4 linked regions of the Saccharomyces cerevisiae S288C genome follow. Changing the gene in region 4 together with the main gene of any one other region gives a genetic interaction. Each region holds a gene or a part of one and is shown on either strand. Other genes may lie near its edges. The genes, in order: RRM3, ELG1, VID22 and MUS81.

The links.
Region 1: mutations in MUS81 (region 4) and RRM3 together harm fitness more than expected from each alone (negative genetic interaction), as found in Saccharomyces cerevisiae (5 studies listed by BioGRID, with this or other methods).
Region 2: mutations in MUS81 (region 4) and ELG1 together harm fitness more than expected from each alone (negative genetic interaction), as found in Saccharomyces cerevisiae (8 studies listed by BioGRID, with this or other methods).
Region 3: mutations in MUS81 (region 4) and VID22 together harm fitness more than expected from each alone (negative genetic interaction), as found in Saccharomyces cerevisiae (6 studies listed by BioGRID, with this or other methods).

What each region holds. Positions count from the first base shown.
Region 1 is NC_001140.6:170,299-174,698, forward strand, and holds RRM3 (DNA helicase), read right to left. Parts: upstream 2,673-4,400; coding exon 501-2,672; downstream 1-500. Other genes in the region: mitogen-activated serine/threonine-protein kinase SLT2, read right to left, coding at 1-46; ERC1 (Erc1p), read left to right, coding at 3,046-4,400. UniProt on the Saccharomyces cerevisiae protein: 5' to 3' DNA replicative helicase recruited to paused replisomes to promote fork progression throughout nonhistone protein-DNA complexes, naturally occurring impediments that are encountered in each S phase where replication forks pauses.
Region 2 is NC_001147.6:602,217-606,870, reverse strand, and holds ELG1 (Elg1p), read left to right. Parts: upstream 1-1,778; coding exon 1,779-4,154; downstream 4,155-4,654. Other genes in the region: MDM32 (Mdm32p), read right to left, coding at 1-264; PNO1 (Pno1p), read left to right, coding at 700-1,524; THI80 (thiamine diphosphokinase), read left to right, coding at 4,529-4,654.
Region 3 is NC_001144.5:868,081-873,181, forward strand, and holds VID22 (Vid22p), read right to left. Parts: upstream 3,288-5,101; coding exon 582-3,287; downstream 1-581. Other genes in the region: fatty acid elongase ELO3, read left to right, coding at 1-311; STP3 (Stp3p), read left to right, coding at 3,617-4,648; PSY3 (Psy3p), read right to left, coding at 4,746-5,101. UniProt on the Saccharomyces cerevisiae protein: Has a role in the negative regulation of gluconeogenesis. Imports fructose-1,6-bisphosphatase (FBPase) into the intermediate vacuole import and degradation (Vid) vesicles. This is an indirect role and requires cyclophilin A.
Region 4 is NC_001136.10:1,244,545-1,248,563, forward strand, and holds MUS81 (Mus81p), read left to right. Parts: upstream 1-1,539; coding exon 1,540-3,438; downstream 3,439-4,019. Other genes in the region: EFT2 (elongation factor 2), read left to right, coding at 1-1,214; CIN10 (Cin10p), read right to left, coding at 3,610-4,019.

The sequences.
Region 1 (4,400 bases), on a different chromosome or scaffold from region 4:
CTTGATTGAAGACCTTGAAAGTATGCCTCTCTATCTTATCAGCCATCTCCCAGAATTGTTATACACGCCCTTCAATTATTTCTACTATTTTGATAGCTTCAATAAGAAAATCTGTGGCCTAGATTTGCTGACTGAATGCACAGTTCGTCTAATATATATATATATCTGGCAGACCAGGGTCTTCAATTAAATCTAAATATTTGTGTAGGATCTGATTTCCCTCACTTTTTTTTTCGATATATTCCTGGCTAGATCTCCTTTTTCAGTTTCTATTTTTAACACTGAAACTTTCCATTCTGCCAACATTTCGCAGTCTTCTATAAAAAAAAAAAAAGATAATATAAAAATCGCCGCATACGTAGGCTTAGCTAAATAGATGGCTTCTAGATGAATATTTCGGGATTCTGTTAAATTATACAGATAGGCTCACAAGTATTCGAACCTGTATAGAACAAGAAAAGAAAACTTCAACTAGAGTATATGCATTTATTCGTTGCAAGTCATTTCAAAGTTTCTAAACGTTTATAGAAATCTTTTACTCTTTCATTGGTGCGAATCTTTCCTGGATCAAAGTTTAGGACCTGTAAGGTGTCCATAGTTACCGCTCTTGACAGTGCAACATAAACTTGGCCGGCTTCGAAAATTCTCCTCAAGTCGACCTTTAGTCTTTGAATAGTTTGACCCTGTGCCTTATGAATGGACAGTGCCCAGCATAGCATTAATGGAATCTGAGTTCTTTCTAACCCGACATTTTCTCTGGGAATATCAATGGGAAAGCGCTCTGGGACCATGAGCTCATGTATGTACTTGTTTTTACCCACTGTCCACCTCACATAGGGGAATTTTTCCTTATGCGGAGAGATCTTAACTGCATAGTTTATCAAGATTTTCAAACGTTCCAATCTAGCTAATGGCCTGGCATTCAAATCTTGACGAAACTCCTTTGATTCCTTTAACAAGGGATTACCAATGACCCGACTCACTAATCTCATGTCCATGACAACTTCGTCATCCACAATCTTGTAAATTTCCTTCATTTTCACCACCAGCGATTCTGTAACAAAAAACAAAACTTTTCCCAATGATCCATTAACTAATTCTACATCAGGCTTATTTTTCAACATCATTACCTGTGCATCTTCCTTCAATGCGACAACTTTTTCCACCATTAATGAAGAATCTAGTATCGCTTGGTATCTCTCGGGCGCGTTATCTACAGCTTTAAACTCATATAAATCACCAGGTAGAGACTGTAATTTCTTTACGTTGGATAGTTCAACTTCTCTTCTTGTGGCATACAGTTCTGTAGGAGCAATTCCATCGGCATAGTCTATATCCCTATTTAGGTTCCTTATTGTTTTAGCAATGTCGACAGTCAGCTCTCCGTATCTTATGGCATTTAGAATATCAATTAGTTTGTTATCCTGTTGTCTGAAAACCTTTGTCAGTAAAATCGTTTTTTGAATGCACCGTTTCCACATTTCACTTTCAAAACAAAATTTCACAACGTTATGCTCGTCCTTCTTAGCAACTGGTGGTAGTTGAAAAAAATCGCCTGTCAGGACCAATTGAATACCACCAAAGGGATCGTCGTTCTTCCGAATTCTCCTTGCGATTTGCTCTAATTTATCCAACAGATTACCATCGACCATAGAAATTTCATCAATTATCAAAACTTTTGTATACCTCCATGCGGCCAATAAGTCCTTTTGTGATTGTATTTTTTTCACCAATTGGTCGATAGTTTTGTTCCCGATTCCTATACCAGACCACTTATGCAATGTGGAACCACCAATAGTCACTGCCGCTAGCCCAGTTGAGGCGGTAATTGCAATTGATTCTTTCCCATACAAAGAGCTCAATTGTCTTATGATCGTTTGCAAAATGACCGACTTACCTGTACCCGCACTACCGGTGTAAAAGACATTTGTTCTTTTTTTGACGATTAAATTAACCACTCTCTCTTGCTCCATTGTAAGTACCACTGGCGAAGACGCACTTCGGTGGTTCATTGAGTCCATATTTGATACTGTCTTTCTTAGCAGTGGTTTTATTTTCTTTGGTACTGTGAGCTTTAAACCTTGAAACTCCATAGAAGGTTTAGACCTCTTGGCTGGTCTTTCTGAATCAGTAGAAAGTTTCATGCTAGAATCTTCAATATTAATTGTACTAGTGAACGATAATTGTCTAGAATTGGATTTCACGCTAGTAACCTCTCGCAAAGTCTCATCCTCATCAAAATGGTATGTTTTCTGAGTCGTGGACGCAGAGGCAGTCTTATGAAGAGAGCTGGTCATCGACAGCGATCTGCTAGACTTTTTATAGCTATTGAGTCTCGGCACATCTACCAATTTTTTGAATTCTGCGTCGGGATCATCATCTCCAAACGAACCTTGACTCTGCGAGAATAAGGAAGACGAATTATTCCGTATTAATCTTGGCCTAGGAGGTGCTGTTATATTACGGTTACCTTCGTCACCGCTTTCCAAATCAATTATTGTCGTGCTGTTTTTTGAAGCAGCAGCAGATTTTTTGCCGCAACCCATAAAGAACGAAGACAACGTTTGTTGCCTGTATGCGTGAGAGCCAGATGCCGAAGCAGCAGGTGTGCTACCATTTGAGGATCTTTTAGACCATTGCTTCTTGTTACCGGAGGCATGCGACCTGAACATCGGGATGTCTTATAAGAACAAATCTCTCGACTTTTGAGCTTGTTCTCCTCTGCTTATTGTTCGAGATGATGTTTATTTACATATTCTTTGACGTAATAATATCGGAATAATGCATGCGCATTCGGGTTAGCCCCGTTATAGGGAAAATGAAAAAAAAAAAAATAATAAAAAAAAAAAAGACTAAAAAAATAGAAGAGCACGGCAACTTAAAAAGAAAAAAAAAATTTATGATAACTACAAAATAGTAAAGAACCCTGGCAAAAGAAATAAATCCGGTAAGGGAAGATAGACCGGCTTAAAAAGTACTTTTTCAGATTTGTCAAGGGTCTGTGTTAGCGGTGAAGAAGATAGAAGAAGAAGACGAAAGAAGACTATGTCTAAACAATTTAGTCATACCACCAACGACAGAAGATCATCGATTATCTACTCCACCAGTGTCGGGAAGGCAGGGCTTTTCACGCCTGCAGACTACATCCCACAGGAGTCAGAAGAAAACTTAATTGAGGGCGAAGAGCAAGAGGGTAGTGAAGAAGAACCTTCCTATACCGGCAATGACGATGAGACGGAGAGGGAAGGTGAATACCATTCGTTGTTAGATGCCAACAATTCGCGGACATTGCAACAAGAAGCGTGGCAACAAGGTTATGACTCTCACGACCGTAAGCGGTTGCTTGACGAAGAACGGGACCTGCTAATAGACAACAAACTGCTCTCTCAACACGGCAACGGTGGGGGAGATATAGAAAGTCACGGACATGGCCAAGCAATTGGACCGGACGAGGAAGAAAGACCAGCTGAGATTGCAAATACGTGGGAGAGCGCGATCGAGAGTGGTCAGAAAATCAGCACAACTTTTAAGAGAGAAACGCAAGTGATCACGATGAATGCGTTGCCGCTAATCTTCACCTTTATCTTGCAAAATTCGTTGTCACTAGCATCTATTTTCTCCGTCTCACATTTAGGGACGAAAGAGCTAGGTGGTGTTACACTCGGTTCTATGACTGCTAACATCACGGGTCTTGCTGCTATTCAAGGTCTGTGTACATGTCTGGACACACTGTGTGCGCAGGCATACGGTGCCAAAAACTACCACTTGGTGGGTGTGCTAGTGCAGAGATGTGCTGTGATCACCATCTTGGCGTTCTTGCCAATGATGTATGTTTGGTTTGTTTGGTCGGAAAAGATCCTAGCACTAATGATTCCGGAGAGAGAACTATGCGCGCTAGCGGCTAACTATCTACGTGTAACCGCATTCGGTGTGCCAGGATTCATCCTTTTTGAATGTGGTAAGAGGTTCCTACAATGTCAAGGTATATTCCATGCATCCACAATCGTGCTCTTTGTGTGCGCACCCTTGAACGCATTGATGAACTACTTACTTGTTTGGAATGACAAGATTGGGATTGGGTACCTTGGTGCGCCATTATCGGTTGTGATCAACTACTGGTTGATGACGCTCGGATTACTAATATACGCAATGACCACCAAGCACAAGGAGAGACCACTCAAATGCTGGAATGGTATCATCCCTAAGGAACAAGCATTTAAGAACTGGCGTAAGATGATTAACCTAGCTATTCCCGGCGTGGTGATGGTGGAGGCAGAGTTCCTCGGCTTTGAAGTGTTGACAATTTTCGCTTCCCATCTGGGCACCGATGCCTTGGGCGCTCAGTCGATTGTGGCTACGATTGCGTCTCTTGCATACCAAGTGCCTTTCTCTATCTCCGT
Region 2 (4,654 bases), on a different chromosome or scaffold from region 4:
CTCTCGCTCATTATTTTTTCTCAGCAAAATAGTCTCAATATTGGAAGCCTTGGTAGTGAACTTGTCATTGCTTGGAAATGTTCGGATGTGCCTTTGGGCGATCAAACATCTAACAGGTAACGAACTCTTGTAAGGTGTTATAAAAGGTCTGACATTTCCATGATTAGTTGCGACGTAAGTTCGAATACAGTGTCTTACGAGATGACTTGTAATTGGAAGCAGTGGCCGCTTTATTGTAGGGACCCGTAAACGTGTGATTAGCATGAATTTTATAAACCTCCCACCACCTGATAATCTGTATGTGCCTTTTGTTTTAATACTTCTTGACGCAAATCTACTGTCAACTTTAATATGCATCCCTCCATAGTAAGTCAAGGATCAGCTAGAACCAATAACGAGAAGTAAAAAAAAGTGACAAAAAGTCAAATGTGTCTTTATACGAATTTTTTAACCTACATATGAAGAGTAAGGTCATAAATAATAAATGTAGGGCTAAATGCAGTTAAGATTACTACAGTATTAGGTCTGTTTTTTATCACCTCTTACGGAAAGTGCGAGCGGGAAAAAATTTTTCTTCTTTCCTTATTATCATACCGATGCTCATCACAATGAAAGATACATATTGCATCAATAATAGGCAGTTTTCAATATTCTTCTGTTTAGTTAAGAAAAAGACTTGAAGTGAAAATAAACTACATTATGGTTGCGCCTACTGCTTTGAAAAAGGCTACTGTGACACCTGTAAGTGGACAAGATGGGGGCAGTAGTAGAATTATAGGAATAAATAATACCGAAAGCATCGATGAGGACGATGATGACGACGTTCTGTTAGATGATTCCGACAATAACACAGCAAAAGAAGAGGTAGAGGGCGAAGAAGGTAGCCGGAAAACGCACGAATCTAAGACCGTAGTGGTTGATGACCAGGGGAAACCTCGCTTCACTTCAGCTAGCAAAACACAGGGTAACAAAATAAAATTTGAATCGAGAAAGATCATGGTTCCACCACACAGAATGACACCCTTGAGGAACAGTTGGACAAAAATTTATCCTCCTTTGGTCGAGCACTTGAAGCTGCAAGTCAGAATGAATTTAAAGACCAAATCCGTAGAACTAAGAACGAATCCTAAATTTACCACAGACCCTGGTGCGTTGCAAAAAGGGGCCGATTTTATCAAAGCCTTTACCTTAGGGTTTGATCTTGACGATTCTATCGCACTATTGAGGCTAGATGATTTATATATTGAGACTTTTGAAGTCAAAGATGTCAAGACTCTAACAGGTGACCATTTGTCGAGAGCCATCGGTCGTATTGCCGGTAAAGACGGTAAAACGAAATTTGCGATTGAAAACGCTACAAGAACAAGAATTGTCTTAGCTGACTCTAAAATCCACATTTTGGGCGGGTTCACCCACATCAGAATGGCAAGAGAATCTGTGGTTAGTTTAATTTTGGGTTCCCCTCCAGGTAAAGTTTATGGGAACTTACGTACCGTTGCATCTAGATTAAAAGAACGCTACTAAACATAATTTGTGGGCTTTCATCATCTGTATAATATTTATATGTCGTTTTATGGCGAAATAGAGTGAATAAATAGGTTTTTTTTTCCTTCTTTTTTTTAGGACGCCAAACGCGTAACGTTAGCGGTGATAAATTAGTTTAGTATTATTATCCGGCTATTTGCTTCATGTATTTAACGTCTTCACTGACCACCTTCGCTGCACTAAATCGTATGGTACCATAGCATTAAACTTTTTGAATCAGAGAAGGTTTTCCAATGAAAAGGCACGTGTCTTTATCTGATATATTGACAGGAAATAAGAGAAAAGTGAGAAGACAAGATGCTCTACAGATTACCATCGATGACGAAAATGATACTGAATCAGGCACTTTTGACGCCAGAACAGCCAAACATGACGATTCTTCAGTAATATTTTTAAACCACTCTGTTGTGAAGCCAATTGAAGCTGTTTCTACTAATCACAAATCTGCAAAGGAGTTTTTGATGACGAAACGCACAAAAGAAAAATGCGATGACGACGATGATGATCTTATTGTAATCAGTGATAAGAGTCCCAAAAGTGAGACTAATTGTAGCAAAATTGCACTTTCGCAGGAGCATGAAGATGATATTTCTATAATTTCCACATCGAGAATCAAATCATCGCTTCTTAATGAAAGAGCATCAAAGATTAAAAACTTCCTTAAACATGAGACAACCGACACGTTCAAAAGATTAAATAGCATCTCTAAACTAAATGAAATAGAGCCACCATTACCATTACATCAATCGATTTTCCCAGTAGGTGACAAAGAGCTGTCAGATCGGAGTGTTGATATCCCGCTTCCTTTCCGCACAATACCGCCATTAAATCATAATTTTCTTCCTAGTGACTATGAATCGTTGAAAGACAAGAATTCAGCATCTTGTATTCCTGTTCGCTATCAAGCACCGGTATTACTTGGCACAAATATTAAAAGAAATACAACTCTCACATGGCCGCAGCTATTCAAGCCTGTCACTTTAAAACAAGTATTAATTGAACCCAAATTGAAACTTCGAATCAAAAATTGGATTGAAACATCCTTTCATACGCTAGAAAAGCCTACCTTGAGGAACCGTCTATTGAACAGAATAAATCCCAATAAACAACAGGGATCTGGTGATGAGCTTGCCAACTTCATTGTACCTGATCTCGAAGAAGACGAAAACTTGCGTCCAGATTTCTACAGAAATGGCGAAGCAAATAGCAGCTTGAGCGAATTTGTTCCACTAATGATATTACACGGAAATTCAATAGGCAAGAAAACGCTGATACAGACAATCATGAGAGAGATTGCTGGCGACGATAATTCTTACCAGATATATGAAGTTAATTCAAACATGAACAGGAGCAAAAAAGATTTGCTTGATATCCTACTAGATTTTACCACCACACACTATGTCAAAGATTCCTCAAAAAGGAAAAGTGACTACGGGCTTGTTTTATTTAATGATGTTGATGTTTTATTTAAAGAACATGATAGGGGATATTGGGCAATGATCAGCAAGCTTTGTGAATTTTCACGAAGGCCCCTCGTATTGACTTGTAAGGATTTGTCACTAGTTCCTAGTGAACTTATTGCCTTGGCAAGTGAACAAAACTCTTTGTTTCATACTAAGAAAATTAGTACATCCACAGTCTATGCGTTTCTAACAAAATATTTAAAGTCCCTTGAAATCGAAGTTTGTGACGACTGGCTTCGCGATGTTGTAAAACAAAATAATGCGGATATTAGGAAGTGCTTGATGCACTTGCAGTTTTGGTGCGTTGATACTGAGGCTGATTTGATTTCATCCAAGAACAGACTACCGGTCCTAACATCAACTCTTGGTTCAAGCGTTAAAGATATATCGCAATTAACTGATCTACTCTCCATAAATGATGTTATTGGTCAAGCAACGCTCAATCGTTCCATGGTTAGACAAGAAATAGATTCTACCACAATGACCCCAGAAAAAGTTAATACTTTCCAGGATCAAAATCTGGATGATGAAATGAAACTAAAATTTGATTACGTGATAGATTATAAATTGCATTTAAATGACCCCAATAGACAACCGTTATTACCGTTTGAATTGAATATTTACCAACACATCCAAGAACAATTGGAAGCTCGGTATTCCTATGTTAGAGAAGCAAACCATAGGCTTGATAACGAATACCTTGTTAACAGGTTCAAAAAAATGACAGAATCTACATTAAATTTTTTGGCGTCAAGAATACCGAAGTATGACCATCTTCAGTCGGCAAGAAGGACGAGAAATTCGAAGAAAATTTCTGATATTTTGAACCAATTCAAAGGAATTTATAATGATGAAACTCTGAACGAAAATGCCGAGATTGATCTGCTGAGCGCCACAACTCAACAAATTAAAGCGGAGATCAATCCCTTCGTTTTTGAAATCGCTAAAAGTGACGCCAATGTCAAGAATGAAAACAAACAAATATTTGAGTTGCATAGTGAAAATGTATCAGAAAGACGATACAAAGATTTGGTCTATCAGTTGTCACAAGAGGGTGTCTTGAAAAACGTATGGTTCAACGCTGATCCGAGCATAGTCGTGAGAAAATGGGAGCATTTGCACTCAGGCTTTTCAAAGAACAAATAACACTGATATGAAATTGCGTGCATCGTTACAGGAACACGTATGTATAATAAATATAGCATGGTAGTGCGGGGAAATATACTACTACTTTATATATCAATAAATTCTGCAACCTTGCATTAAGCAAATGCAGCACAATCCTAAATTCCTTCTAATAGTTGCCTTTATTTCCTCATAGTGCATATTTCAAAACAGCGAAAAATGCAAAATATGCGAAAACTTGAAAAAAAATGGCTGATGGGAATTACAAATAAAGCGTGAATGATAAGGCGTTTATAAAAGATTTAGCTTCTTAAGTACTGTGGTTTTGATAAAAGCTAGAAATTTGTAGATCACAATTGGTCACAAAGAACAATAAAAAGCTGAATATCACTGCTATGAGCGAGGAGTGTATTGAAAATCCTGAACGTATTAAAATTGGTACTGATTTAATCAACATCCGAAATAAAATGAACTTAAAAGAACTAATCCATCCAAACGAGGATGAAAACTCTACCCTACTC
Region 3 (5,101 bases), on a different chromosome or scaffold from region 4:
TCCAAATTATTCAATTTTTGATTGACTTGGTATTTGTTTACTTTGCTACCTATACATTCTATGCTCACAAATACTTGGACGGTATTTTACCAAACAAGGGTACTTGTTATGGTACTCAGGCTGCTGCTGCTTATGGGTATTTGATTCTAACATCTTATTTGCTTTTGTTTATTTCCTTCTACATCCAATCTTACAAGAAAGGTGGTAAAAAGACAGTCAAGAAGGAATCTGAAGTTTCCGGCTCCGTTGCATCCGGTTCTTCTACTGGTGTCAAGACCTCTAACACCAAGGTCTCTTCCAGGAAAGCTTAAATAGGAAGCGAGAATTTTTGACAGCGAATGAAAAAGAAAAAAATTAAATGTTAACATTTTCTTTATATTAAATATGTACGATAAATGAAATCATTATTATAGAAATGATAGATTATTGGCTTGGTGTTTTTCCCATTTTGATTAATCATTTCCTTAGCTGCCCAAAGAATTGCACGCTTACAGTGAGGAGTAGTGATACATTACAATTATAAAATAAAATTATATAGCAGCTAAAATTTAAAACAAACAGACTTTGTTCCTTTGTATGTCCTATGGAAGATACTGACTTGCAGTTTGTAAAGTGTCCAAGTCGTAATCCACTTTACTTGCCACGAATTGATCATTGAATAATTTAATTTTAATAATCTCTTGAGTTAAATCGGGATGTACTCTGGGAATGAAGTCATTTAAAAATGAGTACTCTCCCCTAATGGAGGAAGATGACTGACATTGCATTATCTTGAACAAAATTCTAATTATCGGCCCAGCATCATTATCTAAGTATTGGGACCAGAACGCGTTACACACAGGAACATGGATATCAAGTAACTCTTCAATGAAGTTCATTGGTTGTTCTAGCTCTCCAATAATAGAGTCCTCTGTTATTATTCTCTTCTTGAAACGGCCACTATCTCTAATGAAATTGCTTTGTTCACAATACGACCTGTAAGATATGGGTACGATGGAGTTTACTGTACTCAAGTAATCATATAAGTCCTCTTGAATGATTTGTAAAAAGATACTATCTATTTCCTTTGATATGGTAGAGTCCGATAAATGATGGGTATCGCTAAGAGAACCAAATGATAGGTTATTATTGCTATTCTGTGGTTGTTGTTCCGGTAATACAGAATTTTCTCCACCAGTAGGATCTATATCTATTCTTGATGCGGGCGTATTTGAATTCGAGTGGTTGTCGTTGTCGTTATCATGTTCGTTATCATTATTGTCGCTGTTGTTGCCGCTTCTATTGTTGATGTTGTTCGTCTGATTATCAGTGTGAATGTTCATGTTGCTATGATTGGAAGTATTATGACTGTTGTTAACGTTGCCTATTGTGTGTAAATTCAAAAACCTTTTCAATAAACTGAAAATTGATGTAGAAAGTTTGTCGACTATTTCAGAAAGTGAAATGGTATGAAAAGAATATTCCAGGACTTCTCTTTCGAATAAAATCGCAGGACACAAGAACATTGCTAAAAGGTTCATATCGTCTGAAAATAAAATGGTTTTGAATTCTTGAATTTTAGACAAAAATGTTTCAAATGGTGCAATTAACCGTTGAAATTGTAGGCTGCCCAAGGTGGACAACAGATGCTTTTCAATAGACATTATGGCGAACAAAACATAGGTAAAGTTTAAGCTTTTGGAAGAAGTAAAGAACTTTAGTATTCTATTGATGGAATTCAAAGTAATTAATAAATAGTCTATTATTTGAAAGTCGATTTCGTTGAATTTTTCAATTTGGATAGAAGATTGATATTCTTCTATTATGGGACGAAGGTTCAAAAAAGTTTGCAGTGAAACGGTGGCGGTAGAGTAACGGGATAAATCGAATTTCGAACAAACGAATTCGAAGCCAAATTTTTCACACAATGAACGGAATTTATCTAACTGCCACGAATTAGATTGTAAATCATCCAAAAAAGAATTGATTCTGGAAAAAATGGAATTCGAAATATCTATATTTGACAAATCAATTAGAGAGTCCAATAAAGTCAAAGGTTCTTTGGAGAATGATGATTGTCTCGGATGCGTAATATCGGCGGATTTAGGCGTACCGAACAATGGCAATATCGCAGAATTTATTATGGAAATAATGCAATTGTGATAATAGTTTTTAGCATTCGTATACGTATTCGGGAAAAAGGGTTGGCTATCCATTACGTTTAGTAGATCTACTATTTGAGATCTTGGTAGAGTGATAGAAATCACAGTATTTTGTAAACCAGGTAATTCTTGTGAGATTTTGAGCAGTTGAGCTGGAATAGATAGTTTGGGGTCATTGTTATATTCATGTAAGTTTTGGATGATAAGGGGTAAAGTCTTTACTTGGGAATGAAAATCATCATAGTACTGAATACTCAATATAGATATCGTGTTATTCCAAACGGAGTGGCTTAGAGAGAAAAAATTGATTTTTTGCATTTCAAATAATTGGTTCTTCAACCTGTTTGATAACTGATTAGATCTATCGGTTGGGTCCATTAGTAAGTAGTTTTTGTCGATAATCAACGACAAATCGGAATTGTTTCGCAAAGCTGTCCTTTGAATGATTCTATCGAGATTATATGCGATGGACCTGATAGCATTCAGAATTAAGTCATGGTCAATGAAGCTTAGTGAGTTGGCGTTCTGATTGATCAAAAGGCGTACGGCAGTGTTGTCTACGAACGACAGAGGCAAGTTTTCTGATGCAATTATGATCGCAAGCGACTGCACAAGAGGCAAGGCCATTTCTTTTTCCCTAGTTCTCTTCAAAAAGTCCTCGTCTATTTCCAGCAGGTTAGCAATGCTGTTCGTTGTGGCGCTACCGCCTTGATGGTTCTTCAAAGGTGGTCTGACCATAAAAGTAGAACCTGCTTCTACGCCCGTCCATCCGCTATAGTAATTGGCATTCGGGTCTATCTTATGCGTGCTCCACAAATGAGTTTGCGAGGCTTCCGCCATGCTTATGCTGTTTCCTTGCCGTCTTATTATCACACCGCAGTACTTGCATTTTACTGCCTCCAGCATCTTGTCTACACCCAGAAAATGGCCCAAGTAGCGTGACCTGTCTCTGGTAAGCATATATGCGGGCACCCATTCGCTACCATCCTCTGCTAACGACTCCCTTTCCTCATCTCTATCTCCATCTGTATCTGTATCCGTATTTGTGGCCGTCGTAGCCGCCGTCGCCGACGATACAGTTGAATTCATGGGAGGCAACACCAATCCTCTTTCAGCACTCTGTACCTGTGTGTCCATCGCTCTCATATGTGCTCTCGTGCTTGTTTATCCTGTGGATGCTGCCAGCAAACTCTCTCTTTCCCATCTCTTGATGGTTCATGTTATGTGTTGTTTATTGTTTGCTGATCCCATTCGCGCTTTCCCGGCCGTGGTAAATGACTACACGGTGAATAATTGCGCCATTTTTTCGCCGTTGCGGTGTTTTTTTTGTAGCCGTTGGAAGCATGGCAGTACCATCTGGAACAAAGCAACGGTATAAAGAAGACAGACTGTTGGTAAGCGCTGCATGTTGGTGACAAAAAGTTGGTTTCGAGAAATCAGGGTGGGTGTTTTTTGTGTGGCATGTGCAGCGAGCGATGAGTAATGCAAACAATAGTGCTATGAACCACATCACGTTGCCTCCCATCTCGTCATTTGACAACCTTATCAAGGCAGCCGAGAGACAATATAATGGCGAGGCTTCGTCCGCCTCGACACATCCGACACTGCCTAATATGAACATTAGTAACGGCAGTGGCAGTGCGGGCGCATCATCGTCGATGCTGAGCTATCAGTTGCTTCCGCACTCCAATGATGTGTCCCGGTCGAACTCCAGCTCGAGCTTCCTTCCCTCCGTGCAGCAGCCTACGGAAGGTTCCGCTTCTGCATCGGAAACTTCTTCATCTGCATCACCTTCACGTTCCATTTCACCAATTTTAAAAGTGGCTGGTCCTTCATCTGTTGGCGGTGCCGGGGTGAGTACCCCCCATAGCACCAAAATCAATAAGCCAAGGAAAAAGAAGCAATGTCCAATTTGTCGTAATTTTTATGCCAATCTGACCACGCACAAGGCAACGCACTTGACGCCAGAGGATCGGCCTCACAAGTGTCCCATCTGCCACCGCGGGTTCGCCAGGAACAATGACTTATTGAGGCATAAGAAAAGACATTGGAAGGATGAGATACTGTCCCAATCGGGAGTACTTTCGAACCATAATGATGGTAAGGGAGGATCCGTTTCTCCCAATGATGATGATACCCATGAAAAAATGACACCGATGAATTCTGTCACAGATTATGCACAATTGAAATCGTTGCATCAAATCAAGGGCACATTCAAGTGCCCATTCAACTCCACCTTAATACAATTGGACATGGATATGTACCCGTATAAACTGAAACCTTTAAATTTTGAGACTTCCAATTGTCACCAGACGGGGGTGTTCTCACGTTGCGACACCTTCAAAAACCATTTAAAGGCTTTGCATTTTGAATACCCGCCAGGCACGAAGAAAAAGGATAGAAATGTTGTTCCTGGTAGATGTAAGCATTGCGGCCTGAAGTTCGAGAACGTTGACGTTTGGCTCAACGAACACGTAGGTAAACAATGCGGCTATAAATACCATTGATTCCCGGCAGCATAACGACTTTTCCCCTGTTTTTATTAGTACTAGTAGATATTTAATTTATGTATCTGAGTTTTTAATGTTTTTTTTCCTTCTCTTATCATTCTTCAAGTGCGGCTATCCTTCTGTACTGTGGCCTGCCGTCAACAACTTCTCTGTAGATTATCAGATCCATTCCCTTCATGTATGAATCAGGTAGTTTTGTGGGGTACAGTGTAACGCCGCTTTTCCTCTTGATTGACCACTTATCAACTAAGGTGTTTTCGATACCATTATAGAAGTCTGTGGGAAAACTTTTGGTGATGATCCAGCAGCCCAAAAATTCTCTTAGTTTCCTTAGAATCTTAAACAGTTTTTCAAATTTCGATAAATTTATTACATCATAGTTTTTGTCGCTTTCAAAATTCAAGAAAGACAAATTGTCGATTACTATTCCTCGTAATTGAAAGTTGAAAT
Region 4 (4,019 bases):
GTAGATTTGTCGAACCAATCGATGACTGTCCAGCCGGTAACATTATCGGTTTAGTCGGTATCGATCAATTCTTGTTGAAGACTGGTACTTTGACCACCAGTGAAACTGCTCACAACATGAAGGTCATGAAATTCTCTGTCTCTCCAGTTGTGCAAGTCGCTGTCGAAGTCAAGAACGCTAACGACTTACCAAAATTGGTCGAAGGTTTGAAGAGATTGTCCAAGTCTGATCCATGTGTCTTGACCTATATGTCTGAATCCGGTGAACATATCGTTGCTGGTACCGGTGAATTGCATTTGGAAATTTGTTTGCAAGATTTGGAACACGACCACGCTGGTGTTCCATTGAAGATCTCCCCACCAGTTGTCGCTTACAGAGAAACTGTTGAAAGTGAATCTTCTCAAACTGCTTTGTCCAAGTCTCCAAACAAGCATAACAGAATCTACTTGAAGGCTGAACCAATTGACGAAGAAGTCTCTTTGGCTATTGAAAACGGTATCATCAACCCAAGAGATGATTTCAAGGCCAGAGCTAGAATCATGGCTGACGACTACGGTTGGGATGTCACCGATGCCAGAAAGATCTGGTGTTTCGGTCCAGACGGTAACGGTCCAAACTTGGTTATTGACCAAACTAAGGCTGTCCAATACTTGCACGAAATCAAGGATTCCGTTGTTGCTGCTTTCCAATGGGCTACCAAGGAAGGTCCAATTTTCGGTGAAGAAATGAGATCTGTCAGAGTTAACATTTTGGATGTTACTTTACATGCCGATGCTATCCACAGAGGTGGTGGTCAAATCATCCCAACCATGAGAAGAGCTACTTACGCTGGTTTCTTGTTGGCTGATCCAAAGATCCAAGAACCAGTTTTCTTGGTCGAAATTCAATGTCCAGAACAAGCCGTCGGTGGTATCTACTCCGTCTTAAACAAGAAGAGAGGTCAAGTCGTTTCTGAAGAACAAAGACCAGGTACTCCATTGTTTACCGTCAAGGCCTACTTGCCAGTTAACGAATCTTTCGGTTTCACTGGTGAATTGAGACAAGCTACTGGTGGTCAAGCTTTCCCACAAATGGTTTTCGACCATTGGTCCACTTTAGGTTCTGACCCATTGGACCCAACCTCTAAGGCTGGTGAAATTGTTCTTGCTGCTCGTAAGAGACACGGTATGAAGGAAGAAGTTCCAGGCTGGCAAGAATATTACGACAAATTGTAAGAATGGTTAAACAATTTTTAATTATTTAACTTTTTCAGTTTTTGTCGTAATGTATTGGGCACCTTTTATGTCCTTTTGACTTTTTTGTAGTTTATTCTCACGTATACTTACCATCTATAGTGTTATTTCATATTTAATCATATTTCCATATTAGATATCTGCCTTCCCCTGTATAATAGTTACTATGATTTATCTTGCTTTGCCTATTCGCGTCATCAACTTCTTTTCTTACCGATCGCGGTAATGCCCTTTAAGAGTGGCATCAACATTGGCGTAAACAAAGTTTCAAAGGATTGATACGAACACACATTCCTAGCATGAAAGCATGGAACTCTCATCAAACTTAAAAGACCTATATATTGAATGGTTACAAGAATTAGTTGACGGATTAACCCCTAAACAAGAACAACTCAAAATAGCCTATGAAAAAGCAAAAAGGAATTTACAAAATGCTGAAGGTTCATTTTATTATCCTACAGATCTAAAGAAAGTTAAGGGAATTGGCAATACAATAATAAAGAGATTAGATACGAAATTACGGAACTATTGCAAAATTCACCACATATCTCCCGTTGAGGCTCCTTCCTTAACTCAGACAAGTAGCACCAGACCACCAAAGAGGACTACTACAGCTTTGCGTAGCATAGTAAACTCATGCGAAAATGATAAGAATGAAGCTCCCGAAGAGAAGGGAACTAAAAAGAGAAAAACTAGGAAGTATATACCCAAAAAAAGATCTGGAGGCTACGCTATCCTTCTTTCCTTACTCGAGCTTAATGCCATTCCTCGAGGCGTTAGTAAAGAGCAAATCATCGAGGTTGCAGGAAAATACAGTGACCATTGTATGACTCCAAATTTCTCCACAAAAGAATTCTACGGTGCTTGGTCGTCTATTGCTGCACTTAAAAAACATTCGTTGGTTCTTGAGGAAGGTAGACCAAAACGGTATTCGCTAACAGAGGAAGGTGTAGAACTAACAAAGAGCTTAAAGACGGCAGACGGAATCTCTTTTCCAAAAGAAAATGAAGAACCTAACGAGTATTCCGTAACCAGGAATGAAAGTAGTGAATTCACAGCAAATCTGACTGACCTCCGTGGTGAATATGGTAAGGAAGAAGAGCCCTGCGATATAAATAACACTTCATTCATGCTGGATATAACTTTTCAAGATTTGAGCACGCCGCAAAGGCTGCAGAACAATGTATTTAAAAATGATAGACTGAATAGCCAAACTAATATATCTTCTCATAAATTGGAAGAGGTCTCTGATGATCAAACAGTACCTGATTCCGCATTAAAGGCTAAAAGCACAATAAAGAGGAGAAGGTACAACGGAGTAAGTTACGAATTGTGGTGTAGTGGTGATTTCGAAGTTTTCCCAATTATTGATCACAGAGAAATAAAGTCACAATCTGATCGTGAGTTTTTTTCAAGGGCATTTGAAAGAAAAGGTATGAAGTCAGAGATAAGGCAACTCGCTTTGGGTGATATTATATGGGTTGCCAAGAATAAAAATACCGGGTTGCAGTGTGTGCTCAACACCATAGTTGAAAGAAAAAGGCTAGACGATTTAGCTTTAAGTATAAGGGATAACAGGTTTATGGAGCAAAAAAATAGGTTAGAGAAATCTGGCTGTGAACACAAATACTATCTCATTGAGGAGACTATGAGTGGCAACATTGGAAATATGAATGAGGCCCTAAAGACCGCGCTTTGGGTCATTTTAGTGTATTACAAATTCTCCATGATAAGAACTTGCAATTCGGATGAAACTGTGGAAAAGATACATGCGTTGCATACTGTAATTTCTCATCACTATTCTCAAAAAGATCTCATAGTTATATTTCCAAGTGACCTTAAAAGCAAGGACGATTATAAAAAGGTGCTTCTACAGTTTCGTCGAGAATTCGAACGAAAAGGCGGTATTGAATGCTGTCATAATCTTGAATGCTTTCAAGAACTAATGGGAAAAGGCGATCTAAAGACGGTTGGTGAGCTAACTATACATGTTTTAATGCTTGTTAAAGGTATATCTTTAGAAAAAGCAGTAGCCATCCAAGAAATATTTCCTACCCTGAATAAAATACTAATGGCATATAAAACGTGCTCCTCGGAAGAAGAGGCTAAATTGTTGATGTTTAATGTACTGGGAGATGCACCTGGTGCGAAGAAAATTACTAAATCTCTTTCAGAAAAGATATATGATGCTTTTGGTAAACTTTAGCAATTTGAAATATAGTCATCCCTGCAAGGTTTTATAAAGAAAAAAGTGATGATATTCTTTTAACTAATATATACATATATAAGAAAAGAAGCCTTAATTTCTCACGGACAAATATACCAGAAGCATATCTGAAAGCCGCCCCAATGCATTATGATGCCACTTGACAACTCATCAATGGTAGGTACGAAAGACATAATGAACATCAATTCCATTATCAAAAACCCTTCCAACCTCTTCCAGTGACAAACCTTTGACTTCTGGATACCAAAAATATACGAAAAACCAGGCACAAACTGTGAAAAAAGCAAAAATGAGCATTGTATTTTCATCACCAATGGTGTTAATAGTGCTCAGATATGTCATTGAAACAAATGCATTGGTCAACCAATTTGTGCAGGCTATACATGATGCCCCAAATGATCTCCTGTTCAAGGGGAGAAATTCCACACAGGTCCATGGAACGCTGCCCATCGCAGAAGCATATGCTGCAACATAAATTACAACAGAAATTAAAAGTAAATTGACTTGGTCATGACCGAAACCTACACTGCAAAGAAGTAACCCAACAGTCATAATCAAAA